Linked DNA regions of Saccharomyces cerevisiae S288C. The protein of the gene in region 1 purifies or fractionates together with the protein of each later gene. This does not show direct contact. Each region holds a gene or a part of one and is shown in the gene's direction. Other genes may lie near its edges. The genes, in order: SEG1, PIL1, EIS1 and LSP1.

Region 1 (8,635 bases):
AACATCCAGAATTTTAATTCGGAGAAATTTCACAAGCCGCCGATTTAAGGGTCCTGTGTTCTTAATAATCAGCCTCTCTCAAAGCAGGTAAGAGGCAGTCTTTCTTTTAACAATAGGAGACATTCGAACTAAAACATCAGCCCCAAAAATGCGCTTGAAGGTCATTAGGATTTGGATTTCTTCCTCATTTTTAAAGGCGCCCCTTTTCGTTTTAGTCATGCTGGGCTAGACTAGCACGTAGTGTATGGAATCAAACTGATGCCGTCCCCTGAATTATATTTACAATTCAGAAACGTCTTTGAACATTTATAATTAAATTATAAAACAAAAGGAATTTGTAAAAAAGACTTTCAAAAGATGATCCAATAAACTAGATTAAAAACCCAATATAAGAAGAAGAATGTGTGGCATTTTTGGCTATTGCAATTTTTTAATTGAGAAGACAAGAGGAGAAATCATCGACACTTTAATCGAAGGGTTACAGGCATTGGAGTACAAGGAATATGACTCCAGTGGAATTTCGATCCAAGGTGATGAGCTGGAGTCTCTCAATATTTATAAGCAAACCGGTAAAATAAGCAGTTTGAAGGAAGAAATCGACCTTTACAATCTTAATAAGAACCTGCCCTTTATTTCGCATTGTGGCATTGCCCATACTAGGCGGGCAACACATGGAGGGCTAAGACGTGCAAATTGTCATCCACATAACTCAGATCCATCTAATGAATTTGTTGTGGTACACAACGGGGTTATTACCAACTTCGCTAATTTGAAAGCCTTATTGATGGCAAAGGGCTATGTGTTCAAAAGTGACACTGATACCGAATGTATTCCTAAACTGTACAAACACATTTATGATACAAGCATTGAACTCGGGTACAACCTCGATTTCCATGTATTAACAAATTTAGTACTTAAAGAATTGGAAGGCTCTTATGGTCTGCTATGCACTTCTTCTCATTTTCCCGATGAAGTGGTTGCCGCAAGAAAGGGTTCCCCGTTAGTTATTGGTGTTAAAGGTAAAACTGACATGGACGTAAACTTTGTCGAGGTGGAATATTTGGATCAAGAAGAAGACTACTTGAAGCTTAATACTCAAACCAAGAGTTCTGGTAATGTCTTGGCTGCCGCACCTGTAAAATATAACACTTGTTTAAGGAAGTCACCCCCCTTCGTTCACAATACCTGAGAAACTCTACAACTTCTACATTCAATCATGGCTCATCCACAGAAACGCCAGCCGAGAACGGCTTGCCGCGACCCATGGAATTCTATTTGTCATCCGATTGTGCATCACTAGCGCGGTATGTGAGTAAAGTAGTATATTTGGAGGATAATGATATTGCCCATATCTATGATGGGGAGCTTCATATCCATTGTTCTAAAATTGGTTCCGAGGACTTTTCATTTAGAACAGTTCAAAAATTAGAATTGGAGTTGTCCAAAATCAAAAAAGGCCCTTACGATAATTTTATGCAAAAGGAAATATACGAGCAGTGTGAAACAACAAAAAATGTCATGAGAGGAAGAGTTGACGCCTTTACAAACAGAGTAGTTTTGGGAGGACTAGAAAATTGGTTGACAGAATTGAGAAGAGCAAAACGAATAATAATGATTGCATCCAAGGCCTCCTTCCATTCATGCCTAGCTGCCCGTCCCATCTTTGAGGAGTTAATGGAAGTTCCAGTAAACGTTGAATTGGCCTTGGATTTTGTTGACCGCAATTGTTGCATTTTCAGGAACGATGTTTGCATATTTGTTTCTCGAAGTGGGGAGACAACTGATACAATTAATGCTTTGAACTACTGTATCAAAAAAGAGGCAGTCACAATCGGGGTAGTTAATTGCAGCGGTTCCTCTATCTCAAGATTTACACATTGCGGTGTTCATACAAACACAGGCCCCGAGAAAGGTATTGCAACAACCAAGTCTTATACTTCTCAATACATCGCTTTAGTCATGATTGCCCTATGGATGTCGGAAGATTTGGTGTCTAAAATAGAAAGGAGGAAAGAAATAATTCAAGCCTTAACTATAGTCCCAAGCCAAATAAAAGAAGTTTTGGAGCTTGAACCATTGATTATTGAATTGTGTGACAAGAAACTAAAACAGCATGATACATTTTTGCTTTTAGGAAGAGGTTACCAATTTGCCTCTGCTTTGGAAGGCGCCTCGAAGATGAAAGAAATTTCTTACGTGCATTCTGAAAGTATTCTTACCAACGAGCTAGGACACAGAGTCCTAGCTGTGGCATCTGATAATCCGCCAATTATCGCCTTTGCGACAAAGGATGCTTTTTCGCCCAAAATCGCGTCTTGCATTGACCAAATAATAGAAAGGAAGGGCAATCCGATTATCATTTGTAACAAGGGGCATAAGATATGGGAGCAAGACAAACAAAAAGGAAACGTTGTTACACTCGAGGTACCCCAAACCGTAGATTGTCTCCAAGGGATACTTAACGTTATTCCTTTACAATTAATTTCTTACTGGTTAGCGATCAAGAAAGACATCGGAGTTGATTTGCCAAGGGACTCGGCGATGTCGGCCCCGGATATATAAAAAAGTGTTCTTTAATTCCTTCTAATTTCATTAAAACAAGTACTTATATTTTGGGCAGTATGTAGAATAGATGTTCACACTCTATAGCCAAATAACTTAATTATTGGTCAAGGTAATCTCTTGCAATTGGTGTCACTGCCACATCTTTTAACGTCAACAGTAAATCCGCAAAATCCCGTCGCGTCGCCGCTAAGCAGGCCCAATTTTAGCTCACTGCGGCAGCGGGCTGGCCGTGTGGCGCGAGGGTCAACATGCAAAAAAGGACGATAGATAACCTTAAAGGAAGTATTCATTTCTTCGCTAAATTTTCAGTGCTCCCTTACTTTACCGACAAATTGGATAAAAACATATAAAACACAACAGCAACACGTAGCCATACCAACCAATTCCACAAATCACCAGCCGTTCGTTCCTAAAAATGTTTAGAAGAAGAACAACTGCACCAGAAATGGAACAGGCGGACCCGACAGCAGTGGCAGCTGCAGCAAGTATCGGTAAATTATTAATGAAGAAGGGTAATCAATCTGATAACGAACAAAGGCCGACCTATCGATCCGCTTCGATGACAAACTTAAGAAAACCTTCTGCCCCCAAAAGAATGTCTTCTATTTCTAGTATATCATCGGAATCTAGAAGGAGCGATGGTAAAGGTCGTCCCGGGAAAATAAACAGCCTTACCCAACGGTCATCAATGGGGAAGGGAGATTCATTAAATTCTCCTTTAACGAAGGAACCGCAGCACAAAACTAGGTCTCACAATAGAACTTCGAGTCTCCCTAACCAGAGAGGTCAGCAAAGCAGAAACAGTTCTGGTTTACAACGTCAAAAGTCCAAAACACACCAAAGAATAAGCTATGATGAGGCTCAACGTACGTTCAAGGATTTTGGCGGACCACAGGCCAGAGGAATTTTAACGGGACAACACCGTACTGAAAATCCTAGCGGGTCTATTCCTTTGAGGACTACGCGAAAGTATATTCCTGGGCCCAACGGGCTGGTTGCAATTGAGGTCCCCGTTGAAAAACCAAGCAATGCCAATACTTCTAAATTGCTAAGGCGTTCCAACTCTGCCCACAGTGCCTTGAATGCAAGAAATGGTTCACTTTTAAGAAAAAAAGTATCGCAGGAATCTTTACATTCTCAACCAAAGAAGACTTCGTCTTTAGGGAATACATCAAGTACACAAGCAAAAAAAGGCCAAAAGGCGGTTCAGGAGAGAAATCTTGCCAAGAAACATCCAATAAATTCAAATGTTCCTCTCATTGAAACACAAGTTCGTGAAGAAACAGACCAAGAGTTGAAACTTGATAATTCTAACTCTTCCGAATCCGAAACAGTAGTCAATAGCGAAAATAATCTAGAAAAACCTTCTTCACTAAACATTGAAAAAGATGATCTAAGCAAACTAATACATGAAAACATTGAGTTAGAAAGTTTTATTGAAGAAAAAGGGAAGGAAAAACCTTTAAATTCTGATCAAGAAGATGTTTTCATAAGCGAAAAAACTGTAAAAGGCGATGTACAATGGCCAAAAAATAACCGTCAAGCATCTACTCTTGAGAAAACTTTTAATTACGACAACGAAGAGAAGAGGGAGGGGAATAAACCAGTAGCAGAACATCCTCTTCCGGAGGCCGAAGTGGATGACAAGTCGGTTGAACAACTGAACAACATTTCTTCTAGCGGCAGTTATTCGGCCCAAGGATCAGTTGAAAACTCCAAACCAGAAAATGGCAATAAAAATCTAGAGAATGACACAACATCGTCTCCCACACAAGACCTTGATGAAAAATCCCGCTCAATAGAAGAGAAGGATACCTTGGAAGGGACCGAGAGTTCAAAAAAAGTTGAAAAGCCAGACAATTGTTGTGAGAAAATTTCTGGTGCTAATACTTCTTCCAAAAAAGGGAATGTTGGCGATACTAAGGATGAATTCTTCGATACAGTAGAAGAAAGCGATCAGAAAACGAGCAAGTCGAATTCCTCCAAGAACACCGATCATTCTAATCAAACAGAACCAACGCCTTCTTTGGCTCAGTATTTAAGGACCTCAAATACCTACCTTTCTCGAAAAAACCAATCGAAACAAGCTGAGCAAGAAAAGTTTCACAAGCCTGAAGCTCCTATGGTTCCTGTAACGAAAGTAGTTACACCAATCAAATCTGCTCTTAAAAAATCGTCAGGATCGTCCAACCATGACTCATCCATGTACTCTGATAACTCTCCCGCCAATGGCGCATACCTGTCTCTTACGACTGCTGAAAATACGAGATTAAATGCTCAAATGACGATGTCCGACAGCGTATCACGCAGAGCAAGTTTAAAACGATCTTCTATAAAAAGACCTCAGTCAGTAGGCCAGTTCAGAAGCATCAGATCAAATTCGCCTTCTCCCCCAGAGAAAATAAACAATAAACGCCATTCTGCTATACCCCTAGGAACCCCAGAGAAGGGTAAACCAAAAAGAAATTCGGTTATGGCTTCTCTGTCTAAAAATTCGCAGCAAATTCAAGAGCCCGCAAGTGTATATGAGTCAAATGGCCCAAATAAACCTAAAAACCAAATCAATAAGAATATAAAGAGAGGATCACAGATCGCGCAAAACAATAAACCTTCAACGAAGGACATGAATAGTATTTTGTACCCCAAAGAACCACCTCCTCGCAAATCTAGTTTTGAGAAGACGAGAAGCAATGAATCCCATCTCGGATTTAAAAAGCTTTCTTTGAGAAATGGTAATTTTGAGGAGGCATTGAGTGAAAGCTATAATGGGCAAGCTAGCCAGAATAGCACAAATGTGAATCGAACCGATACAGCACAGGAGTTTTTCAAATATTTGGGTCATTCATCAAGATTTGCGGATTCAGACTCAGAAGATGAGTCCCAATTTTTCAACCAAGGCCCATCAAAATACAACACAGAAACAGAAGGCAATAAAACCAGCGGTAACAAAAATAGTAATGGTGGTAACGGTGCTTTTTCGCTTTTCAAGAGCAAAAGTAAGCAAAAGGAAAATAATGTGGTTTCCCCTGGAGTCTCAAGTCCTAATCATACTACCACCGATCCTGCCATTACAAGTAAAAAGGTGGACAAGAAATTCAGCGGGTTATCTTTAAGAGCTGCCAGTGAAGCTGAACCTGCAAAAAATTCAAACCCTTCGATGACCAATAGGTTACGCTTCTCTAGTAATCCAGAGAACGGCGAAAGCAGGCTCCCACAAGCACAGGAAGTCAGCGTTACAAAAGAAAAGAAGGGTAGTTTCGGCAAAAAACTGAAAAAAATCTTTGGTAGAAAGAAATAGGGACTCTCGGCAGAAATTCTCTCCTTGTACAAGTTATGTATTTTATTCTTTTTCGTGCTCGTTCAACTTCTGAACGATGGCTTCCATGCACTGTAACATATAAAGGATTTTTTAATAATGAATAATCAAGAAATCTCCATTTTATATGCTTTTTTTTTTTTGCCGTTTCCACTGCAATCAATGGCGATATAATCGGATGAACAATAAATATTCGTGTTCCTATTCGTGTTCCTATACGTGTTCCTAGCAGCAAACAATAACAGAAGAGAAGCATTTGATTTTCGTAAAAACTTCAGGTGTGGGTGTTTCTTATTAACGGTTAAACTTTACGAATTGAATCCCCTATGTATAATGGTCCATAATACATCTTAAACCACCAAGCCATCTTCGTAATTTTGAACTGGGAAAATTGGGAAAACTGCAGACATTCATAATCATGACAGGATCTTTAAACAGACACTCACTTTTGAACGGGGTAAAAAAAATGAGAATAATATTATGCGATACAAACGAAGTAGTTACCAATCTCTGGCAGGAATCTATACCCCATGCATATATTCAAAATGATAAGTATCTTTGTATTCATCATGGGCACCTTCAATCTCTTATGGATTCAATGCGTAAAGGTGATGCAATCCATCATGGCCACTCTTACGCAATTGTTTCACCTGGTAACTCGTATGGCTATCTTGGAGGAGGGTTCGATAAAGCTTTGTATAATTATTTCGGGGGAAAGCCCTTTGAAACATGGTTCAGGAATCAGCTTGGAGGAAGATATCACACGGTCGGATCTGCTACAGTGGTTGACCTACAGCGATGTCTTGAAGAGAAAACAATTGAATGTAGAGATGGTATTAGGTATATTATTCATGTTCCGACCGTTGTAGCCCCATCAGCTCCTATATTTAATCCGCAGAATCCCCTCAAGACAGGGTTTGAACCGGTTTTCAACGCCATGTGGAATGCCTTGATGCATTCTCCAAAAGACATTGATGGTCTTATTATTCCTGGATTATGTACTGGGTATGCAGGTGTACCACCCATTATCAGTTGCAAGAGTATGGCCTTTGCGTTAAGACTATATATGGCGGGAGATCACATAAGCAAAGAATTGAAAAATGTGCTGATCATGTATTATTTGCAATATCCGTTTGAACCTTTTTTCCCGGAAAGTTGCAAAATAGAGTGCCAAAAACTAGGAATAGATATCGAAATGCTGAAATCCTTTAATGTAGAAAAAGATGCAATAGAATTGCTCATTCCTAGAAGGATTTTGACCTTGGATTTATAAAGGTATATAATATAAAGTCTATTTTCAATTTTTCAAGAACTTGAACTACGTTTGTAAGTATGTTTCACCAGATATAACGATAAAACAATTCCCACTGCTGCCAGGGCTATATTTGGAATATAGGAAATCAGGAATGCCTTTTTGTAGACATCAAGAATGCGAACAAATATATCCGTTGGAAAATTGGGCCCTCTCAAGTAACTCGAATCATTGATAAGGGAGTAGTACTGCTTTTTGGTGAAGTGATATTCGTCATCACGCTTGGTTTTGAACATATAATTCCATAACATGGACGACAGGCTATTCTCATAGGACACTAAAGTTAAAGAGGCACCAAGAACGTTACCAATGGATCTCCACAAATAGAAAACACCAGTCATGGTTCCTTGCTGTGATTTTTCGACGGTGAATACGATGCTTACTAACGTGGCCACTAATAGACAAGCGTAACCAAAGGACACAAGGACTGATGCAAACACATATATCAATTTCCACCATATTGAGTTAGATCTGAATGTAATAGACTCAAGCATATCATATATGGTGTAGTCAGGATTCAAGTGTGAAAGTAGGAAATAGCCCAATCCCAAACCCAATAGCTGCATTATCATACCACCAAAAATGATTTGATATGCACAGTGTGCTAGGTTAATTTTCGTATTCCGCAATACCCATCCTGTTACCAATGATCCGACTGCAACTGATATAGAGGGGAAAATCAAAAAGAGGCCAGTCTTTGTTACACTAATATTTTGAAGCAATTGTAAATAGATTGGTGACCTAAAGATTTCACCAAATACAACAAATGAAGATATAACCGTTACCGCTGAGCTCAAACAGAATGAGCGAGTCAATAGTTCGAATGGTAAAATTTTCTCAGTCGCGTAATAACGTTCAACCAGGATAAAAACAATAAAGCTACCAATGGTAAACAATGCTAAATACAACTTGTTCAACTGGCTAGAGCACAAAAATAAAACTCCACTAATGGTCGCCACCAGGCTTAATGAGCCAAATATATCTATCCGTGACAGATTCTTTAAGGTATATCTTTCTTTCATAGGAGGAACATGGAATAGCTTAATATTAATGTTTTTGATTGCTAATACCGAGCACAACATTATCACGGGTACTTGGATACCAAAAAGAGCCCTCCATCCAATGGTTTCTATAAATACACCACCCAACGGAGCACCTAGTAATTGACCAAACCCGAAAACAATATTCGCATATCCCTGGTAAACGCCCCTTTCTCTTGCTGTACATATGTCACTAACAGCAATGCTACTAATAGCATTCAATCCTCCTGCACCAATACCACATATGGCTCTTGCTATTGAGAATTCCGTGACGTTTCTGGCAAAACATGTTAATAAGCACCCAAGGCCAAAAAAAAATTGAGCGGTTAATAATGCTGACTTCCGCCCTGTTATATCAGAAAGCTTCCCATATAGTGGTTGGAAAGCCGTATTTGTCAAAAG
Region 2 (6,743 bases), on another chromosome or scaffold:
TTGGGCCGTCCCTTTGGAAGTTCACTGCTTTAAATGGACACTGTTCGGCAGTGTATTGGGAATCACCTTTGGAGTATGGACATCCCAAGTTTCTTGGTCTGTTGACGGGCAATTGCTGATAGTTGGCTCCCAATCTATGACGTTGAGTGTCTGGATAGGAGAAAAGTCTGGCTTGTAGAACGGAATCATTAGAAGGCTTAATACCTGGGATACAAGTGTTCGTTGGACTGAATGCAACTTGTTCAATTTCTTGGAAATAATTGTCAACATTCTCCGTTAGGGTGATGGTACCAAATTTTCTCAAAGGGAATTCCTTGTGTGGCCATATTTTCGTTAGGTCATTTACCGAATACCTGAACTTAGTTGCTTGTTCGGGTGTCATTGTTTGCACATAACAGTTAAATTTTGGCTTTTCGCCATTTTGCAATTGAGTGAACAGCTTTGCCTGATTATAATCAGGGTGGGAGCCTGACAGTTCAGCAGCCTTATCTCCAGTCAAGGTTTCAAAACCAGTATCCGACAAGACGTGGAATTGCACATATGTGTCCTTACCTTCTTTGTTGACCATGATGAAGGAATGACCAGAGTACGCGTTCATACTAGCCCACGAAGCAGGAGTACCTCTATCACCAAACATGTAAGTTATTTGATGGATTGATTCCGGATTCAATGTTAGATAATCCCAGTATATGGTAGTGTCCTGAAACTGATTCAGATGAGACTGAGGGTCTCTCTTTTGCGAATGAATAAATACGGGAAACTTAATAGCGTCTCTGAGGAAGAAGACGGGAGTATTGTTGAAGACCCAGTCATGGTTCCCCCACTCGGTATAGAATTTAAAAGAAACACCTCTTGGGTCTCTTGCAGTGTCTGGTGTACCACTTTCACCACCAACGGTGGAAAAACGAACAAGACCAGGACATTTGTAACCCACATTCTGGTATGGAGCGGCGTATGTAATATCACTCAAAGAATCTGTTAGTTCGAACTCCAGTCTACAACCACCACCTTTGGCATGGACTACACGCTCCGGAACTCTTTCTCTATCGAAACTTGCAATATTTTCCAGCAGATGGAAGTCTTGCAGTAAGATAGGGCCGTCTGGTCTTGAGTATTGAGAAGCGTATGGGTGATGAGAGTACGGAAAACCGTTTTGTAGAGAGTAAACTTTTTCTTGCTTTTCTTCTTTTTTACCGAACACGTTCATTTGTGAAGCTGAGCTGATTGATCTTATTGGCATGAGACAAGAGAAGGATTTTTTTAATAAGGGCAAGTAACGACAAGATTGAGTTCTGGAATAGAGGTAAAGCAACGACTTCTTATACGTGTAGCAGTAGGGGATACGATAAATGCACAATGTGTCCAGGCTACGTCGAATCCTTACAAATTCTACCTGTTGAGGGAGTCGGGGGCATTATCGGCTAGGCTAGCCTGCAGCCAGAGGGTGAAGTGAACTATACTTTTTCAGCATACGAATAGTACTGGCAATGACAATAATAACCCTTCTGGATCGGCGACGTACTCATCATTGATAGGAGGAAACAATACGCAATTTCACCGCTTGGCCCCTTACCGGTGATCCCCTTGAAAAAGAGGGCCGTCCGCGGTCTTGGCTTAGGGTCTCTGTGAAAGCACGCAGGAGAGCTGCTCAACGCGGAATGGAGATAACGGAGGTTCTATCCCCATGTGCCTCGTCATCGGTTCCTCATCATCTCTGGCTTCTTGAATTCGTTTTATTGTCACCATACAATAAGTTTGACGTCGTGAAGGCAGTTTAGTTCTCGGACTTGCAACCCCTAATCTTCAACGTCGAAAATACCTTATGACGCATATTTTAATTTTCCATCTCGCAACTAATGCTACCCTATTTTCTCTTACCAGCGAACACAATTCAAAAATTCTTAATGTTTAGCAGCTCATGCTGATATCGTATTACTATTATTACTGTGGTCATGCTAAAAAGCTGACTTATTCAATTTAATTTTTTTCTTTTCTTTTATGTTTTGATAGACAAAGGTTTTTTTTTACCTAAAATTCCTCTTTCCTCACGGACCATACGATTAAAATCATGGAAATTAAGTATTACAGTCGGTAATTTCTTTCTGGTTTTGTAAAGCCTGAAAAAATATACTAATATAGTGCAGGCGATCGTACATCTTCCAAGCATCTCATAAACCTATGCACTGTGGATTCTATGTACTTGGCAATAGATGAGCATTTCAATGAAGGAAACGCCTGAGTCAGTTATGTAAAAAGTACTACGTACGGACCAATCGAAGTGTGTAAGAGAATGTGACATCAATTGTTGTTGCATTATGTCCATTGGAATATGCAGATCGGCTGTGGCATTTGGCCAAAATGTTATAGAGTTCACACCTTATTCACATACTTTTTCATTTTCTGTGGCTTTCAAGGGTGGGGGCGGTAGTGATAACCATTCTCTAAACAAAAGCCCATGTCCCACACCAAAGGATGTTTTTTTATATCACGTTCCCTTTTCATAAAACACAAAAGAACGAATACTTTTTAAGCCGAATGAGTGACAGAAAAAGCCCACAACTTATCAAGTGATATTGAACAAAGGGCGAAACTTCGCAAAAAAAAAAAAAAAAGAAAAAGATAGTGTAGTAGTGATAAACTGGTGCTTCAATTTCTTTTTATGAATTGATCTGTATCTGCACCTAGATCGATTTGATTACAGGATAAGGGATATGGTGCGATTCGCGAGCTTTTACCAATATGTATAAAAGGCGGCTGTTTGAAGCCATTCTATCTTAATCTTGTGCTATTGCAGTCCTCTTTTATATACAGTATAAATAAAAAACCCACGTAATATAGCAAAAACATATTGCCAACAAAATGTCTGAAATTACTCTTGGAAAATACTTATTTGAAAGATTGAAGCAAGTTAATGTTAACACCATTTTTGGGCTACCAGGCGACTTCAACTTGTCCCTATTGGACAAGATTTACGAGGTAGATGGATTGAGATGGGCTGGTAATGCAAATGAGCTGAACGCCGCCTATGCCGCCGATGGTTACGCACGCATCAAGGGTTTATCTGTGCTGGTAACTACTTTTGGCGTAGGTGAATTATCCGCCTTGAATGGTATTGCAGGATCGTATGCAGAACACGTCGGTGTACTGCATGTTGTTGGTGTCCCCTCTATCTCCGCTCAGGCTAAGCAATTGTTGTTGCATCATACCTTGGGTAACGGTGATTTTACCGTTTTTCACAGAATGTCCGCCAATATCTCAGAAACTACATCAATGATTACAGACATTGCTACAGCCCCTTCAGAAATCGATAGGTTGATCAGGACAACATTTATAACACAAAGGCCTAGCTACTTGGGGTTGCCAGCGAATTTGGTAGATCTAAAGGTTCCTGGTTCTCTTTTGGAAAAACCGATTGATCTATCATTAAAACCTAACGATCCCGAAGCTGAAAAGGAAGTTATTGATACCGTACTAGAATTGATCCAGAATTCGAAAAACCCTGTTATACTATCGGATGCCTGTGCTTCTAGGCACAACGTTAAAAAAGAAACCCAGAAGTTAATTGATTTGACGCAATTCCCAGCTTTTGTGACACCTCTAGGTAAAGGGTCAATAGATGAACAGCATCCCAGATATGGCGGTGTTTATGTGGGAACGCTGTCCAAACAAGACGTGAAACAGGCCGTTGAGTCGGCTGATTTGATCCTTTCGGTCGGTGCTTTGCTCTCTGATTTTAACACAGGTTCGTTTTCCTACTCCTACAAGACTAAAAATGTAGTGGAGTTTCATTCCGATTACGTAAAGGTGAAGAACGCTACGTTCCTCGGTGTACAAATGAAATTTGCACTACAAAACTTACTGAAGGTTATTCCCGATGTTGTTAAGGGCTACAAGAGCGTTCCCGTACCAACCAAAACTCCCGCAAACAAAGGTGTACCTGCTAGCACGCCCTTGAAACAAGAGTGGTTGTGGAACGAATTGTCCAAATTCTTGCAAGAAGGTGATGTTATCATTTCCGAGACCGGCACGTCTGCCTTCGGTATCAATCAAACTATCTTTCCTAAGGACGCCTACGGTATCTCGCAGGTGTTGTGGGGGTCCATCGGTTTTACAACAGGAGCAACTTTAGGTGCTGCCTTTGCCGCTGAGGAGATTGACCCCAACAAGAGAGTCATCTTATTCATAGGTGACGGGTCTTTGCAGTTAACCGTCCAAGAAATCTCCACCATGATCAGATGGGGGTTAAAGCCGTATCTTTTTGTCCTTAACAACGACGGCTACACTATCGAAAAGCTGATTCATGGGCCTCACGCAGAGTACAACGAAATCCAGACCTGGGATCACCTCGCCCTGTTGCCCGCATTTGGTGCGAAAAAGTACGAAAATCACAAGATCGCCACTACGGGTGAGTGGGATGCCTTAACCACTGATTCAGAGTTCCAGAAAAACTCGGTGATCAGACTAATTGAACTGAAACTGCCCGTCTTTGATGCTCCGGAAAGTTTGATCAAACAAGCGCAATTGACTGCCGCTACAAATGCCAAACAATAAGCCATTAGTAGTGTACTCAAACGAATTATTGTTGCAAATAAATAAACTTACACAGTTTGAATACATAAATCAATCAGACAAATAAATACATCGGTTCAAATTATACTAAATCTAAATACTACGTTATCGCCGTGAATTACGCAATTCGCATGTTACGTACTGCGCGTCTCTTGTTGAATATTTACCAATTGGGAAAAAGAACTCGTATTTCATTCCCCTTTTTGGAAAGGGGTGGGGAGAGACTGTTGTTCAGCCACGTCAATTATTATTTTTTCTTTGGCCCTGCGCTTGTCTTATAAAATTCCGCAGCCGCCTCTTATTTTTTTTTTTTTCGATTTTTGGCCCACAGGTCATATTGCAAAAACCGAATGGCCGCGCCCCCCTCACGCACGGGACGGAAGAAGGGCGGCGTCCCCTGTTTTTCTGCTTTGGCTCATCTCTTTGGCTCCGACGGACGAAAGACGGGATTCCCCCTCCCGTGTCTTTTTATAAATAACAAGTGCTCATTCTGCATCCTTCCTTGTTTCCCGTCGTTTGGGTACAATGCGTTGATTATCCCAACCCAAGAAAGAAAATTTGTCTCACATCTGCATCTGCACATTTATTTACCTATACTTTTCCATTGTTAGCAGTATTGCAAAGTGAAGAATATATCAGCATCAAGTATATAGTATGCACAGAACTTACTCTTTAAGAAATTCCAGGGCACCTACCGCCTCTCAATTACAGAACCCACCGCCACCACCATCTACAACCAAAGGTAGATTCTTTGGGAAGGGTGGTCTAGCTTACAGCTTTAGGAGAAGTGCTGCTGGAGCTTTTGGCCCAGAATTATCCAGAAAGTTGTCTCAATTGGTTAAGATTGAAAAGAATGTTTTGAGGTCCATGGAATTGACAGCCAACGAAAGACGTGACGCTGCTAAGCAATTGTCTATTTGGGGGTTGGAAAACGATGACGATGTTTCCGACATCACTGATAAATTAGGTGTCTTGATCTATGAAGTTAGTGAATTAGACGACCAATTTATCGATCGTTATGACCAATACAGATTGACTCTAAAGTCCATCAGAGATATCGAAGGTTCTGTTCAACCATCTAGAGACCGTAAGGACAAGATCACCGACAAAATCGCCTACTTGAAATACAAAGATCCTCAATCACCTAAGATTGAGGTCTTGGAACAAGAATTGGTGCGTGCTGAGGCTGAATCTTTGGTCGCTGAAGCTCAATTATCTAATATCACAAGGTCAAAGTTGAGAGCTGCTTTCAACTACCAATTTGACTCCATCATCGAACATTCAGAGAAAATTGCTTTAATCGCTGGTTACGGTAAGGCTCTCTTGGAACTATTGGACGACTCTCCTGTCACTCCAGGTGAAACCAGGCCTGCTTACGATGGGTATGAAGCCTCTAAACAAATCATTATTGATGCTGAAAGCGCACTGAATGAATGGACACTAGACTCTGCCCAAGTCAAGCCTACTTTAAGTTTCAAGCAGGATTACGAAGACTTCGAACCTGAAGAAGGCGAAGAAGAGGAAGAGGAAGACGGTCAAGGCAGGTGGTCCGAAGACGAACAAGAAGATGGACAAATTGAAGAACCTGAACAAGAAGAAGAAGGTGCTGTTGAAGAACATGAACAAGTCGGACACCAGCAAAGTGAGTCTCTTCCCCAACAAACAACAGCTTAATCAAAATAAATCAACAATCTATTAGAAACAAAAAAAAAAAAACCAGCAGAAAAGAACAAGTTACCATACTAATTAATCTCTTTTAATTAATGCGTGGACAGATAATCATTTCTGTTCCCTCACTCTGAAAAAATTGTTTTATTTTCCTATTTTTTTTTTCATCTATTATTGTATTTTGCCCTCTCCTCACTCCTTACTTTAGTCTATTATCAATATCTCTTCCCCCTCCTAAATATGTACTCTTTTATTTTTTTTAATTGTGAAGGAACAATTCAAGTTAGAACTCTTTTGATAGGAAACATTATTTCCTGTGTAGCCTAATGTTTAATGCCTAATTTTTTTCTAAAATGCAGCAACATACATATGTTGAGTCGTATAGACATCTATATATAACAAGCACAGAACCGTCTAATTGGTATTTTTCAGGACATTTTAAACATCCGTACAACGAGAACCCATACATTACTTTTTTTAATATTCTTTTTGTTTTCACCGCCTTC
Region 3 (8,290 bases), 110 kb from region 1:
ATACTTTGTCTCTTTTTGATGTGGCTAAAATCCGTTGGATTAGAAGAACTTGATTCTGATGGTGAGCTGAGAGATTGATTTCTTTTATGCACCATTAGACCTTTTTCATCAGGATTTTTCGAATCTTCATCAGGTTTAAGTTGTTCTTCCCCAACAATCGGCCTTGGTTTATCAGGTTTCTGCCTTAACACGGAGTCATCCACATTGCTCTGTAACTGGACGGGTGAAGACCTCAAAGATAATGTTGGGTTAGCAACCACTTTTGTCTCATTACGTATGACGGGTGTGGAATTTCTAAATTGTGTAGCCATGGTGACTTCTGGAGATGGCAATGGTTTCTCATATTTGTCTATTGAAGCTAGTTTCCTTTTATTTTCGGTTTCCTTCAGCTGAGAAGATAGTTTCCTTATATTGTCCATATACGATTCGGTTTTTTTACTTGTCGTGGAGATACTGCTCATTTGAGCCCAGTTGGCGCTAGAATTCATGTCACCTTTGGAAGTCTTATGTTTCAGTCTACCAGTTCCATTTTCTTTTGAAAACGTCGATATTTCATCCGCTGCCGTGAATGAGTTCAGATGATTTGTTAACATGTCCATTTTTGTTTGCTCTAAAATATATGTTTCCATCGATGAGGTTGCGAACTGTTGTAATTTCGATTGTAAAAAGGATATTCTAGCGTTCTCCATTTCTTGCAGTTCGCAGGATAATTGCGCCCACTCGTGTATCCAGAATTTCTGCGATGCCTTATATTCTTGCTTAAGAACGTCTAGTTGAACCTTATATTCCTGAGAGTTCGATTCCCATTTCAATAGTTCTCTCTTGTTGTGTTCTACTCTCTTGGCCCCAATCATATTATTCTCGTTCAATTGCAAGTCTCTGAATCTAATCTGGGCATCCTGTAATTTCTTTTGCAACACCTCACACCCCTTTTTCTTGTTGAACTTGTCCATCCGCAACCTTTCAATCTTTCCACTCAATGTAGTATATCTTGCTTGCAAGTTAGCGGCAAATGCCTTAGTATCCGTGTAAATCTGTCTGAAAAGAATCTCACTTTGCTTGGAATGCGATTGTGCTCGAGCTTTCTCAACACTGAGCACCACATTAAATGTTTCATTCAACTTTCCATAATCCATGTTTGTTCCAATGTCTTTGTCTAGTTTTCCCGTGATGGCTCCAAGCCGCCTGGCATAGTCCTTCTCAAGCTCACTACGCTGCTTAAAGAAAAGTATCATTGAGTCGCAAGATCTTATTCCCTGAGAAATGTGACCCAGAAGGATGTTCACACCATTGTCGTTTGGGTCCCAAAAACAAGCTTCATAACTGTAGCTCATTCTTTCACCTTTTTCTGAATATTAGTAGTACACTTTCCAAGTCTCACACGAGGCCTTTGTATTTTATATTGTTTGCTCGCCTGCTCCAAAAAAATGCTCTAGCTGGCTTTCCTCTTTCCCTCATACAGTGAATGTGTACTTTATCAAATGGACCTTTACCATTGAATATATTTCATAACTTTTTACCATTTATTGTTTACAACTTGCCCAAAGAGGAAATCATATACCTCGGCTACTCGAACGCTTCCGCTTCGGTCCGCTGTTACCCAAAAGGGAAATAGTACTTTCCGGATGGGGCAATCGGTGCTCTTCTGGAAGAAAATCGCAAACTACCGAAAGGGGCACCCTCGAGAGGGGGAAGAACTACTGCCACTCGATGGGGAGAACTCCTTGTTGCTTGCAGTATATCACCAATGTTTATTAATTCAGTGGATCCTAAAGGTTCAGCTCTTTGGCAGCTACTTTGAAAAGAAGCAAAATAGTGCACTCTGACGATTACACAGTCTTTAGTTGTTAAATAGCTTTGCATATAGGGAACCAACGCAAAATAACCAATGTCTTTAATTTCAGCTGTAGAAGATAGAGACATACATAATATAGGAAAGACTTCTGGTGGAGGGAGCAGGACTTCGTCTATAACTTCGTCGAAAAAGTCGCTGAAACACGGCTCTAAATCTTTGAGAAAACCAAAGGTATACCAGACAACAGGCGAACCATTAAGCAGGGAGGCTTTATATAAGGCGAAGTTGAAGTACGGGGTTTACCAGTCACCTGCCCAAAGTTACTCAATTGGCGTCAGCGACGCTCATGCAGCTTCCGACAAGGCAGCTAATTTAGCTCATGACAATCAAACCACGGTAGAAGCTTACAAACGTATGTTTATTGACCCTAATGCCACTAAAGCTGCATCCAAAATGGGACCCAAAGTTGTACGTAACAACTCAATAACTTCTGCTACTTCTAAAACTTCAAAAGAATCTCAGACGAAGAGAAAGTCCAAAGAATCTCCAGGGGCCGCCGCATCGAAAGCTTATTCGATGACAATGGAAACTACAAGTTTAAGCTCTCAAACAAACAGCAGGTCATATTCTATCACCTCTGCCAGCTCTGTGTTAAGCGGCGCGAGTGGCAGTTTCAACAGTACTGTTAATCCTAAACCAAAGACTTTGAATTTGGAGAAAGTCTTAGTGGGTGCTGAAAAAAAGGCAGAATCTCGTATTAAGGAAAGATGGGAACCGGAAAAGACGAACTTCCAATACGGCGTCAAGACTGATGAGCATGGTAATTTAAATCAATTCAGTTTCTCCAATGAGATGATGAATAACATTATGGCGAAAGTTGATGCTCCAAAAGCACAAGATTTACAAAAGGTCAAAAAAGTTTCTGCTGAGAAAGAAGCCAAGTCGATGAAATTTGCATTAGGAGCTGCTAATGCTGTGAAAGACATGCATCCTGGTGAGGATATCGACAAAAGTATAGCTCTTAAGGCGCAGAAGAGGGAAACCTATCTGAGCCAATTAACTTCTCAGCAAGTTTTGACTTTGGCAAGAGCCAATGTTGACAGACAATTGGATATCATTGAAAAAAGCGATATGCATAGAAAGCTATTCACTAATATGGAATACAACAAAGCTGCTGTCGCTGTCGCACAGTCTAATCATCAGAAAAAGACAGAATTCCATAACAAGATTAACATGGGTGGTGGCCTGTTTTTGTCACCAGAAGATATCACTAAAATCGCATCCGGATTGATTTCTCCTGTACTTGGTGAAGTGAGTGAGAGGGCGGAGGCGCAACGTGCTATGGATGAAGAAATTGCAGAAAGAACTGAGGCCTATAATAAATCATCAAATGAATGGGAAACGATGGAACGTTCTATCATTTCTAATGACGCCAAAGTATTGACTACTACGGCTAATAGGCATCAAACCGAAAAAAAGACCTCCCAGGAAAAGATTAAAGCCAGCTTTGATGCACTTGTGGCCAGAATGGATACCAAAGTCGCTGAAAGGGAAACTCTGCTTGAAGATACCAAGAGCAAAGAGATCGAATTTAAAAAGCAAATGCAGCAAGAGTTAAAGGACGAAAAAGCTCGTCTAGATCAAGATTTGGAGGAATGGGGTAAGAAATGTGAACAAGATATCACTGAAGCGCGCAAAGAGCAAGAAGAACTATTGAAACCTTACCATGACGATCTGGCAAATGCAGAAGCGGAACACAAAACTTTAGTGGAAGAGCGCGATGAAATTAACGCAGAAATCTCAAGATTGCAGGATGCTATAGTTGACCATAAAAGAAAGATCTCTGGTTACGGAAATGATCTTGACGCCCAGAAGAATAGAAATATCAGAGAGGATGACAAATTACTGGAACTAGGTCAAACTAAAGAAAGCTTGGAATCCCATTTGAATGATGACGTTATTATTCTTGCTAATAAGGCTAAAGAGCAGGCTGAGTTATCAACCAAGGAGGCCCGTCTGAAGCAATTGGAAGTGGATTCGTTGATTAACGAACGTAAGAGCGAGTTGAACGCGACCGAAATCGAGTTAAAGAAGGAAAAACTAAATTTGTTGGAAGCTATGAAAGATGTTGCTTCTGCACGTGGCGATGATAAGATTGACGAAGAGAAGGTTAAAAAATTGATTGGTATGACTTCTGAGGAGTATTTAACACAAAACAAATCCGTCGAGAAAAATGTTGAAGATTTACCAACCCAACTTGAAAAAATAGAGGAAGGTGATGAACTAAAGAAGGAAGAGATAGTGGGAGCCGAAACGAAAAATTCAGGTGGTGATGGGGTTCCGGTGAGTACTGCCGCAAAAGAAGCTACCGAAACTAGTTCTGCTGTTCAAACAAAGGAACCTGAAGAAAAAATTTCGATCGGAAATAAATCAAGTGGAAAAGAAGACGCTAATGATTGTAAATCAGCGGAGCATTCAAAAGAAATCTCGGTTTCACAGAAAGCAGGAAACAATAAATCATTGGGAGTTAGCCCTGATAGTTTGGAACATACATTTAGTGGCTTTTCACAGGGTTCTTCGATCGAAGACGATCAGGATGCAATTAGTAATCAAGAGAAAAAATAATTGCTAGTGAGCCTAGATAACGAAGAAATGGTGCGGCTAAGATATTGAACAGTTGAGTGGGATACTACAGAATTTTGATAATTAAGATAGTTCTCATCTGCGCTTTAATTATTCTTTTTATGTGTATAATATATGTTTATTGCCTTAATTTAAATTTAATATTTGTATTTTCTTTTTTTTGTTTAATTTGATTACTTTTGCTTATGAAATAGTATATATGGTTGTTTTACTTTTTTTTTTATTTATTTGATCTAAGTTTTATGTATGCAGATTAAAAGCAAGTTTTAATTAATTGGTATGTTGGTTTTGATTATGATTATGAGGAGTACCGCTATTGCTATTGTTTAAATTACTACTGTTGTGTTCCAGTTCATTCACGCCTGGATCAGTTTTGAAGTATACTTCATCCGGCAAAGTATCTGTTGAAATTATTGAATATTTGATGAGCCAATTTCTCATTGGTTGGTAGTCTAAAACAGAAAACGGAATGTTTAAATCGATAAGAATCTCTATCAAGTCGTTCATGGCTATTTTCGATTGAAGTTCTCGAACATTTTGCTGTTGGACCTGGTGGTTGATGAGGCTCGATCCGGTTTCAGGATGATTTCCGTTGACGTCCCCTTTTTTCTTCTTTTTCTTCTCTTTGAATTTGGCATCTGGTTCAACAAGTAAATCACGCATCAATCTAGATTGATAGTCATAGCATTCCTGGAAAAGTGGAGAATTATGATCAAAAAATTCGGTAAAATTATTTGGTGTTAGCTGGACATCGTGAACTTTACTCAAATGTCTTTGATACTTTCTAGAACCATGCTTCTCTCTACTGTTCTTATCTTTCCATATCATTTCTTGATTGCAAATTCGCTTGGTTCTACGGTCATAAAATTGGCAATATGTGTTGATAGTTAGAGGTGATTTAGCAAATAATAGTTTAGATAGATGGTTTCCCTTAATATCTCTTCTCTTGGGAATGGGAAGCTCCAAAGTTTTCATAATGTCTGATCTAAAATTTAGTGTTTCTGAAGACAGTAGCTGCATATTATTCTCTATGAAATCTACCACTTGTTGCTGTTGCCGTTGAACTGCATATTTAGAATCCTTTGTGCTATTCGATTCAATAGTTCCCAGAGGAAGCGACTCATCATGAGTAACGTTGACAGGAGATGACTTGGCAGATACGGTAGCAGAAGAAAAATCTGGCGAGAAGTTCTCTTTTTGCAAATAATCCGGTACCATATTCATATTAAGTATCCTTGGAGTTTCCATCTTGTTGGGCGCCAGATACATCTCCTCACGAGGAGTCCCACTACGGTTGGCAGGAAAATTAGGCAGTGTCGCTATATCAACCATGCCTCTATTGTCTTGAGGAGGGCCTTTAGTGGTAGCAAATTTCCCCATTTCTGGATTTAGGTCCTTCATAACTGCTTGTAGTTCTATCTCCTTGTTTTCGAATAGCTTCTCAGAAAGTAAAAAAAAGGATAATATTACAGTTTTTGATCTACAGAGTCCCTTTTTGTACCCCTCCACTCAAATCGTTCTGATACGTACGTCTCTAGGTGTCAGATGATGGAGTAACTTGCAGATGTTTTACATGCGTTTCTTTTGGTTTACGCGATAATAGTTCCTTATTAAATGTCAAGAAAGTGCTAGTTGCTTCAGTTGTTTTAAGATTGATCTCCACTCTCTGCGTCTTCACATGCGCGGGACAACTTTACAGGAAAACAAGGTTTAAGAGATAACCTATTCGGGTTTTACGTAGGATGATCTATTATAGTCTATTCAGTTTTTACTGCTGCACCATCCCCTAGGCTTCTTTGTTGGGATATGGTATAGTACTCTATTGGTCTTAACTTTGCGATCTTCCCCGTCGCGTAATCTTAGATAAAAGCCACCTAGAACGACTAAATGTGAGGAGCAAGCAACAACATTAATAAAGAAACCCAAAAGAAGTAAGTGCGTGTAGTTAGACCGGAAAACAATATGGCTATTAACCAGGCACATGTTCATCCGCATTACACGTTACCTGGTGTAATGCACTACTTGCAAACGGAGTTCACGAAGAATGAAAGAGATAGAATCACCTGGGAGCTAGAAAGGTCGGAAATGAAAGCAAGAATTGCAGAACTAGAGGGCGAAAATAGAGATTTGAAGCATCAATTGAATCAAATACAATCGAAAGCTGTTTCTCCTGAAGGTGAAAAGGAAGAAAAACATGTGCCTGATTCATTACTGCAGTCTAAGCTAGCTGTTCAAGAAAATGTGAAGGAAATAATTTATTTGTTGAAAGGCCCTAACACGGTCAATCAGTTAGAGTCATTAAATAGCAGAGAAGCGGGTTCTGAATTGCACGATTTAGAGAAACTGAACGTGAATACTCCCAAGGAAGAGGGCAGTGCGAAGACAAATGGGATGGATATTTTAAATAATGCCCTCTTGGACACCAAACCCAATCCAAAGCAAGGTCCTTCAGAGTCACCATCACCAACCAAAGTGAAATCTTTGTTTAGCACAGCCAACAAGCGTGAAAATAATGAAACAATATCCAAGATACACTCGGAATTGTCGAAAGTCGACATTATCAGCTCCTACGGGGACTGTATGGCACTTTATGATGCAGACACCAAATCGTTAGAAATACACCAAGTGGACGCAAACTTGAATTCCAAACTCTTAAAGAAAATATCTTTAGGGCAAGATAGCGACATTATGAAATTTTTCTGGGTTTCGACGTCCAAACTCCTTGTTATTGAAAAGAGTTTCCATTTGAAATTGTTCTCTATTTCTAGCGCATCTTTGATCTCAGATGTGGACCTATTACAAGACTCAGAACAGCCGTTTTCGTCTAGTGATATCATTAATATAGACTTCAAAAATAAATGGTTGTTGATAGCTAGTAAGAATAAATCTCAAATTAGAATCTGGGAATTGGACAATATAGAGGCTCCTGAGGATGTCCCAATTAACATAAAAGAAACATATGAAATAACACATGATAATGATGACGATGATAGTAATGATTCCACAAACATTCTGGATTGTATATTGGGTATAACAGAAAAATCCTTAATATTACTGTCTTCAAATCCATACCAGCTTACCATATATGATTTCGAGGGTAAGCTTCTACAAAAAATTGATTTGAAGATTGATACAATATTATCGGGTAAGCCAGAAGAAGAAGGTTACCATTTATTTTTGGATAGAAAAACTTCTAAGCTACTGATTCAGCTAAGCAATGAGAGATTATTGGTTTATTCTTTTGATAAGAAAAAAGTTGTACTGAAGGAACAATTGACTCCATCGTCAACACTACCAATACAACTCGATTTGAACGACAGCATAATCACCGTATCATATAGTAATGGAGACTTTGAGTTTAGGAATTTAGAAAACCTAAAACCATCCATCGACGAATTTGTCGTAGCAGACATCAACTTCTCGGAAAGAAAAGAGCCTGTGGTATTTTCTTCAAATCTGATTGTAGATTCTACGCCGGTGTTAATCACCGTGAATAAAAATAACGAAGTCCTTTTGCACAAGATTAAAATATAACTGATGTAGGCAGAAAAAAAAATAATATATGAATCTGTCTAATAGATACTTATGTGTACGTATATAGGTATTTTTTTCTATCCTCTATTCATGGTATTTCCGCTTCCCTTAGCATGACTTTCCTTGAACTCGTCCCACTCACGAGCTTTATAGGTTTCTCTATCTTGCCAGTCCATGTTTTCTTCATCTGGTGCTTGCTCTGGTTCTTCGCCACCTTGAAGAACGCGACCTTCTTCAAACTCTTTATCTAAAAATTCCTCCACCGACATTGTTGGTCCATATTGACCATATCCTCGCACTTTTTGTTGCAGTTGTTGC
Region 4 (6,780 bases), on another chromosome or scaffold:
TTTTATTGAGCACAGTTCTTACCGGTGATCTCTCGTTGTTGTAAACATTCGATATCATATGCATCATAAAAGTTTACATTTAGTCTTTATTTGCATCAACGCAAACCAGGGAAGTACAATAAAATAAGCATTCTATGAACTCGGAGAGCTGACGAAAAAATTTTATATTTTATATGTTGCGGATGAATTATTAATGCCATTATATAAAAATAGGTTATCAATAGGAACGTAATGGTGTGTGATAAGCTTTATAGCCTCTTGAACCACTGCACCTCCAAAAAAGGCCATTACGGAATAGTTATCGTCGACTCGTAAACCAATAAACTCATCTTTATCCTCTGCAGTTACTGCCGGTTGCTCCCAGAATTGGACCATAACTAATGCATCTAAAAGGGCATTCGAGGTGCTAAAAATACCTAACAAGTCACTTTTTGGCGGCAATATTTTCCTGACCTCCCCGTAATGAGAACAAAATGTCTCCAAGACATCCTGTGAAACTATTTTTTTACTGCGAGCCAAACTTTCCTCCACACGAGACTTGTCAAGCTTTGCTTTTACTTCATACAGTTTCTTGAGTCTGATATAATTTTCCGTTGTTGACTCCATATCTGGGAGAGTGCCCGTTAAAGGTTGAAAGCTGAGCTCCCCATTCTCTTTAGCAATATTTTTCAAAGTCAATAATAGTGTGAGAATCTCGTAGTTATAAGTATCATGCCAATCGTTCCCATAATCTGATATTTCCAAATTTCGGAGCAGATCTTCCAGTTCTTTACAACAATCATTTTGAGAGCAGGCCAAGTAAGCATAGCGTTTAGCTTCCACATAATTGGGTTCGTAGATAACATCATTCCCTAAAGGAAGGCAAATTTGGTCTAAAACTTTCTTCATCTGATCAATCGTTATCCTCCCATTATTACCATCCCTTTCAAGTTTTGCAATACACTTCATGAGCAAAACAGTATATGGAATACCAGAAAACGTGGCTGTATCCATTTTACTTAGGTCAAATGTATCTACGTAATTTATTAGTTCAGGCCAAGGGTTCTGTAACCGTAAATCATACTTCTTACTATCTGGGTGTGCTTGCAAAACAAAATGTGTTTCTGAGAGTACCAGATATATATATCCATAAAATCCAGAGACGAAAGTGTTTAGAACAGGCGGAAACTTTGTTCCTCTCTGCCGCCTAATCTCATTTAAATCGAGCATCGCAGTTTGCTCACCAATACAAGTCAAGATCACCACCGAGAAGCGGGTCCAATCATACTGAGGTTGCTGTAACGTCTTTCTAAGGTCATTTTCCTCATATTCTAGCTGTTTAGAAGCCAATGGCTCAAGATCTTTTTTAAGCTCTGCTAAAAACAGAGAACCCGATTGAACTGCACACTCTACTTTGAGCCAAGTAAGAGATGATATTCCGGCAAGCACCAGATTCTTAAAAACTTCCTGCAGCAAAGGTGTAGCAGGTCCTACCACGCACACACGGGACCGGTTCAAACTATCTTGGCCCAATGCTCCCCATAGTCTCAGCTGTCTATCATATCTTTCCATATTTTCATCTACGGCTGTCTAGTTGGCCTAAGAAAGAAAGAGAGGCGACTCATTTTTTTGACGTCAATCGTCTGACTTGTCCTTCTATTTCATTGCTAGGCTAGAAAGCTTAGCTCTTACAACCCCGCTCGTTGCAGCCGAGTGAAAAGGGGATTGCGAAAGGCGTTAGAGGGGATAAAAAGGGGCCCTTTAAAAAAAAGACGGAAAAACCGGGAAGATGCAACGGCTAAATCGCAATATATAAACAGGTGAGATAGAAAAGAAAAAAATCAGTTAACCTCTTTCCTCAATTCCAATGCTTGACCGTAAATTCTCTTTATTTGGTATACGAAAGATTAAACTTTCAAAGCTCCAACACAAGAATGCACAGAACTTACTCTTTAAGAAATCAAAGAGCTCCAACGGCTGCTGAGCTACAAGCTCCTCCACCACCACCATCCTCAACGAAGTCCAAGTTCTTCGGAAAGGCCTCTATTGCGTCTAGTTTTAGAAAAAATGCGGCTGGTAACTTTGGGCCAGAGTTGGCTCGTAAATTATCTCAATTGGTTAAGACTGAAAAAGGTGTCCTTAGAGCTATGGAAGTTGTTGCCAGCGAACGCCGTGAAGCTGCAAAGCAACTGTCTCTATGGGGTGCTGACAATGATGATGATGTTTCCGACGTAACCGACAAATTAGGCGTCTTAATATATGAGTTGGGTGAACTACAGGACCAGTTCATCGATAAATATGATCAATACAGAGTCACATTAAAATCAATTAGGAACATTGAAGCCTCTGTTCAACCTTCGAGAGATCGTAAGGAAAAGATCACAGATGAAATTGCCCATTTGAAATATAAAGATCCTCAATCAACAAAAATCCCAGTTTTAGAGCAAGAACTAGTTCGTGCCGAAGCTGAATCTTTGGTTGCGGAGGCTCAATTATCGAATATCACACGTGAAAAATTAAAGGCTGCTTATAGTTATATGTTTGATTCATTAAGAGAGCTTTCTGAAAAATTTGCCCTGATTGCTGGATACGGAAAGGCCTTATTGGAGCTGCTAGATGACTCTCCTGTCACTCCAGGTGAAGCTAGACCAGCGTACGATGGCTATGAAGCTTCTCGCCAAATTATTATGGATGCTGAATCGGCCTTGGAATCTTGGACCCTAGACATGGCTGCAGTCAAACCAACTCTTTCATTTCATCAGACCGTTGATGACGTCTATGAAGACGAAGATGGTGAAGAAGAAGAAGAACCTGAAATCCAAAATGGAGATATCCCCGGTCAAGTAGTCGAAGAAGAGGAAGTTGAATGGACTACTGAAGTTCCTGTAGATGATGAAGCCCATGAGGCCGATCATCATGTTAGTCAAAACGGTCATACCTCCGGTTCTGAAAACATCTGAGTTTTTTCTAATAATTAATATATTCGAACCTTTCTATATTGTGCTTGTTTTTCACCAGCTCGTGTCTACCTATTATTAATTTCATCTGAATTTGGTTCAAGTATTGTTCGGCCAATATTCCGGTATTGTAATCACCTTTATAATTAATTGAACAAATTTTATAAGACCTAATAATTAACCTTTCTCTTGTTCTCCTTTGCCGTAAGAGATTCAACTTTTCGAAGTCTAATTAAATGAATATGATCTATGAAGTATATATGTACAATAAAAATGCCTATATTAATAAAATTCCTGTCCAAATGCCAGGGCACTTATGCCTCCCTCATCAAACCTCCCCAACTATTCTCCTCTTTACTAGCTCTTTTTTGAAAGCTACATCATTGTCTTTGATATACGCCATTCTTTTTTCCAAAGCAGCCTTTGTGGCTATTGCTTTAACCCGATTTCGATATTCTCTTTTTTTCTGGGAAATGTTTGAGGGTAGGTTTGTGGGCTTCTGATGATCTTGTGCTGTATTGGTGCAGCGTAAAGTAGTGGGGATACAACCCAAAAAACGTAGTATTTTTTTTTGTGAAGAATCACTTTCTTTCCAAATTTTCCAAGAGAACTCACCCTCGGAAGCAATCAGGTTGCCCAACAATTTTCTTGCTTTTTCAATTGACTTTTCTGATAGCGTATTAGGACTACCAAATTTGAAAATTGAGTCTGCTTTGGTTCTCCAATAACTTGTCCGCAATCCAAATCCTTCACTAACCTTTAAGTCTTTGATATACTGTAGGACTGCCCCAAAATTCTTGGTGTTGCCATTCCTAACTAACGCTTTAAATAACATTTCGAACGTCTGAGAATCAGGTTTAATTTTGTAAATCTTACGACAAGTATTATAGCAAAGGAATGCCAAATCACTTCTTCCCTTATTAGCAAATACCCGCATGAAATGATTCATTGCCTCCGAGTCCAACTTAAAATTACTTTTCAAGTGCTGAAAACCATAGTCAAGTAATTTAGATGCGGTTTCAAGTTGTTCCTCGTTTAGTAGTCGTTCTATGCACAGATAGAACGTCTTACGGGAAATCGGTAGTGAATTTGCTGCTAAAACTTTTAAACAGTCCTCTGCTCTATAATCTCCGTTCCTTAGCACAGTATAAACAAAATTTACGTTAAAATTTCCTAAATGTTCACCCATTTGAACAATGTACAATTGTCTCGAAACTTCATCACGAAGAAAGTTATAACATGTCGTCCAAGTTATTACATCTGCAAAAACTCCATGATTACGCATACTTCTAAGATAAAAAAGGACCTCATCGTCAGGGTGCTTCGTTTTTCTAATATGCGAGTTTTTCACTACATTACGCAGTAAAAGATTAAAAGTGATTGTATTTGGTTTAGTCCCCTCAGCCTTCATTTGTGCAAATATTTCTCTACAAGACGCAAAGTCGAAGTGCTCACTGAAAAAGTATATTGAGTCATTATAAACTTGAGCAGAACGCAACGGCAGAGTCGTCTTATTGGTTGGATGAAGTAGGTGCCGCAGCATCTTACGCACAATACCATTTAGTTTGGAAGATGAACGAAAATTGAACTTTGTATGACTTAGTATTCCAATATAATTTTCAAACAATTGAGGGTTCTTTGAAAAGTCAGGGAGAGGAGGGATCTCGTCATTACTAAACTTAAGAAACTTACGAGTGAAGCGTTCTGGCCCTGAATTCTTCTCATTCGATGTGCAATCTATCAGTAGCGTCAATAGTTCTCTAGTAAACTCTTGAGACTTTGCTGTAAGAAGTTTCTGGAATTTATTCGAGGAATTCGTTTGTTTAGAGAACATATACATTCGTTTTGCACGTTCCTCATCATAGTCATCCCTAATTTGTTTCCTAGAAAGCGTTAAAGTCGGCAGGCTTGAAAGGTATTCCTTAACTTGCTCCCTTTCATACTTCACACCATGCCGTACTATTTTTTTTGCCTCTCCATTAACTGACGTTGATGTTGGGCTATCTATTATTTTTTCATCAACTTTCTTGACATTTGCAATTGGTATACCCTCTCTGAACAGGCCTGGAAATATTACTTTCTGATATAGTTTTGGAGCTTCTCTCCCACTTTTGGATAGTGCTTGTGTCAAACACCTTAATGTATTCATAAATATACTAAATGGCTAAGGATGCCCAAGAGTGCCAGAAGATGCCAGAACAAAATCACCCCGAAGTAATCGGTTTTAGTTCTTTTGGCCTTTCCTCTTTTGAAGTTCTGTGTGCGAAAATGACGATTTTCGCCCGAAACCAATAATACTTTTATGACACTATTAAAGATTAAATATAGTAGAAGTATCTAACTTCAATGCACGATAACAACGAAGCCTGTGTTAGTGTTATCATTTCTGACTCGAAAAATTTTCCCACAGATTTTCTGGTGTGGCATCAGAATAATTAACGAATTTTTACCTATTTTTTCACTACGTAAAATATAGTATAATCTGCTATGGCTAATCTTCTGCTTCGATGGAATCGTCCCTATAGCTTTCACCACCAAACAATGAAAGTAAAGCAGGTAAAAATAGGAGAGCATGCAATGCTGCTACAATGATTAGTGTAAACCACATTCTAAAGTAAAATACATCAAATATTTTCGATTGGGCGAATGCAAGTACACAAACTCCAATGAATTTGGTTAGAGTTATACCTTTGATGACGGACTCACCTATGGTATTCAAGGAATAGAGAACTCTTGAGTTTGCGTCTTTCTTGGTTTCACTGGGGACCACTGTAAATGATCTAACAATATGAACACAAAACTCGACACCCAAACCGACACAAATAATTAAATTGACTAAACTGACAGCGTTGAGTGAGATACCTAGTAGGGCCATCAAAGCACCAATATCTACGATAATCATGGTAACGACCAAAGCCAGTAAGAATGAGCTGCGTATATTCTGCAAGAAAACAGATGAAATGAAAAAAATTAGGATAATGGCACTCCCTATTAGCTTCAACGTCAATGGTCCCAAAGTTTGATATTGAACAAAAAAAATGTAAAACGGCGAGTATGCAAACATATCTAGTTCGGGGAAAGAACTTGATATCCTAACTCCATCACTATACGCCTGGATAAAGTCCTTTTGGGATCTCAAAGGATGATGAGCTGTTCTGAAAACTGACGCAGACACACTCGTTTCATTATAAACTAACGCAGTCGAATATGGCGCACGACCACCTAGAGGGCAGGGGTCACTAGGCGCATTAATCCATATGCTTAGGTATTCCATGAAGTCCTTGCCCTCAGGAAACCCTGACATGTTGTAATTCCAAGAACCCTGCTGGAAACAAGTTTCACAACGTCTACTTGGAAAAGAGGGAGGACAAACCTCATCTGTTCCCTTCTTTAATCTACAACACTGGTCGTTTTGAGGATTTAAAAACATGAAATAATCGTCCAGCCAATTAGCCAATGGCTCCGTAATTGTTGACCTGTGTCTTTCTTGCTCCAGTACATTAGCTAATGAGTCTCTTTCGCAAGTTGTAAATTTACCACATATTTTCTGTTGGTTTTGTCTTTTAGTCAAATCTAAATTCTTCACGACCATGTAAACCGGTGGTCCTACGTTTAGGAAGCTATAAACATCCTTAAAATAGTCAACCAGGTAGGAATCCTGTGGAACAGCCAATGTTTGATCTAGCCCAAATTGAATTTCTGGTAAGAAAACCAGAGATGTGAAAAACCAAGCCGAGAAGATAATGATTATGAGCCTCTTTTGCGTTAACATCTTAAAATAAAACGTTTTCAAAAATGATTCCTTAGTTTCTTCATTTCCGGTAATTTGTTTATAATTGGATCT

What was found.
Region 2: the proteins of SEG1 (region 1) and PIL1 purify together in Saccharomyces cerevisiae (affinity purification with mass spectrometry; 6 studies listed by BioGRID). This does not show direct contact.
Region 3: the proteins of SEG1 (region 1) and EIS1 purify together in Saccharomyces cerevisiae (affinity purification with mass spectrometry; 3 studies listed by BioGRID). This does not show direct contact.
Region 4: the proteins of SEG1 (region 1) and LSP1 purify together in Saccharomyces cerevisiae (affinity purification with mass spectrometry, with the first as the bait; 4 studies listed by BioGRID). This does not show direct contact.

What each region holds. Positions count from the first base shown.
Region 1 is NC_001145.3:436,228-444,862, forward strand, and holds SEG1 (Seg1p), read left to right. Parts: upstream 1-2,980; coding exon 2,981-5,863; downstream 5,864-8,635. Other genes in the region: YMR084W (putative glutamine--fructose-6-phosphate transaminase), read left to right, coding at 401-1,189; YMR085W (uncharacterized protein), read left to right, coding at 1,264-2,562; PDL32 (putative ADP-ribose 1''-phosphate phosphatase), read left to right, coding at 6,300-7,154; VBA1 (Vba1p), read right to left, coding at 7,187-8,635.
Region 2 is NC_001139.9:649,098-655,840, reverse strand, and holds PIL1 (lipid-binding protein PIL1), read left to right. Parts: upstream 1-5,223; coding exon 5,224-6,243; downstream 6,244-6,743. Other genes in the region: CTT1 (catalase T), read right to left, coding at 1-1,207; PDC6 (indolepyruvate decarboxylase 6), read left to right, coding at 2,860-4,551. UniProt on the Saccharomyces cerevisiae protein: Negative regulator of cell wall integrity (CWI) in unstressed cells, probably by inhibiting protein kinase PKH1/PHK2 activity and regulating their downstream CWI pathways PKC1-MAP kinase pathway and protein kinase YPK1 pathway.
Region 3 is NC_001145.3:328,342-336,631, reverse strand, and holds EIS1 (Eis1p), read left to right. Parts: upstream 1-1,888; coding exon 1,889-4,420; downstream 4,421-8,290. Other genes in the region: formin-binding protein HOF1, read right to left, coding at 1-1,334; RSF1 (Rsf1p), read right to left, coding at 4,709-5,839; FAR8 (Far8p), read left to right, coding at 6,401-7,972; TAP42 (Tap42p), read right to left, coding at 8,050-8,290. UniProt on the Saccharomyces cerevisiae protein: Required for normal formation of eisosomes, large cytoplasmic protein assemblies that localize to specialized domains on plasma membrane and mark the site of endocytosis.
Region 4 is NC_001148.4:546,791-553,570, reverse strand, and holds LSP1 (lipid-binding protein LSP1), read left to right. Parts: upstream 1-1,913; coding exon 1,914-2,939; downstream 2,940-6,780. Other genes in the region: ULA1 (Ula1p), read right to left, coding at 163-1,551; AEP3 (Aep3p), read right to left, coding at 3,265-5,085; NCR1 (sphingolipid transporter), read right to left, coding at 5,428-6,780. UniProt on the Saccharomyces cerevisiae protein: Together with PIL1, main component of eisosomes, structures at the cell periphery underneath the plasma membrane that mark the site of endocytosis.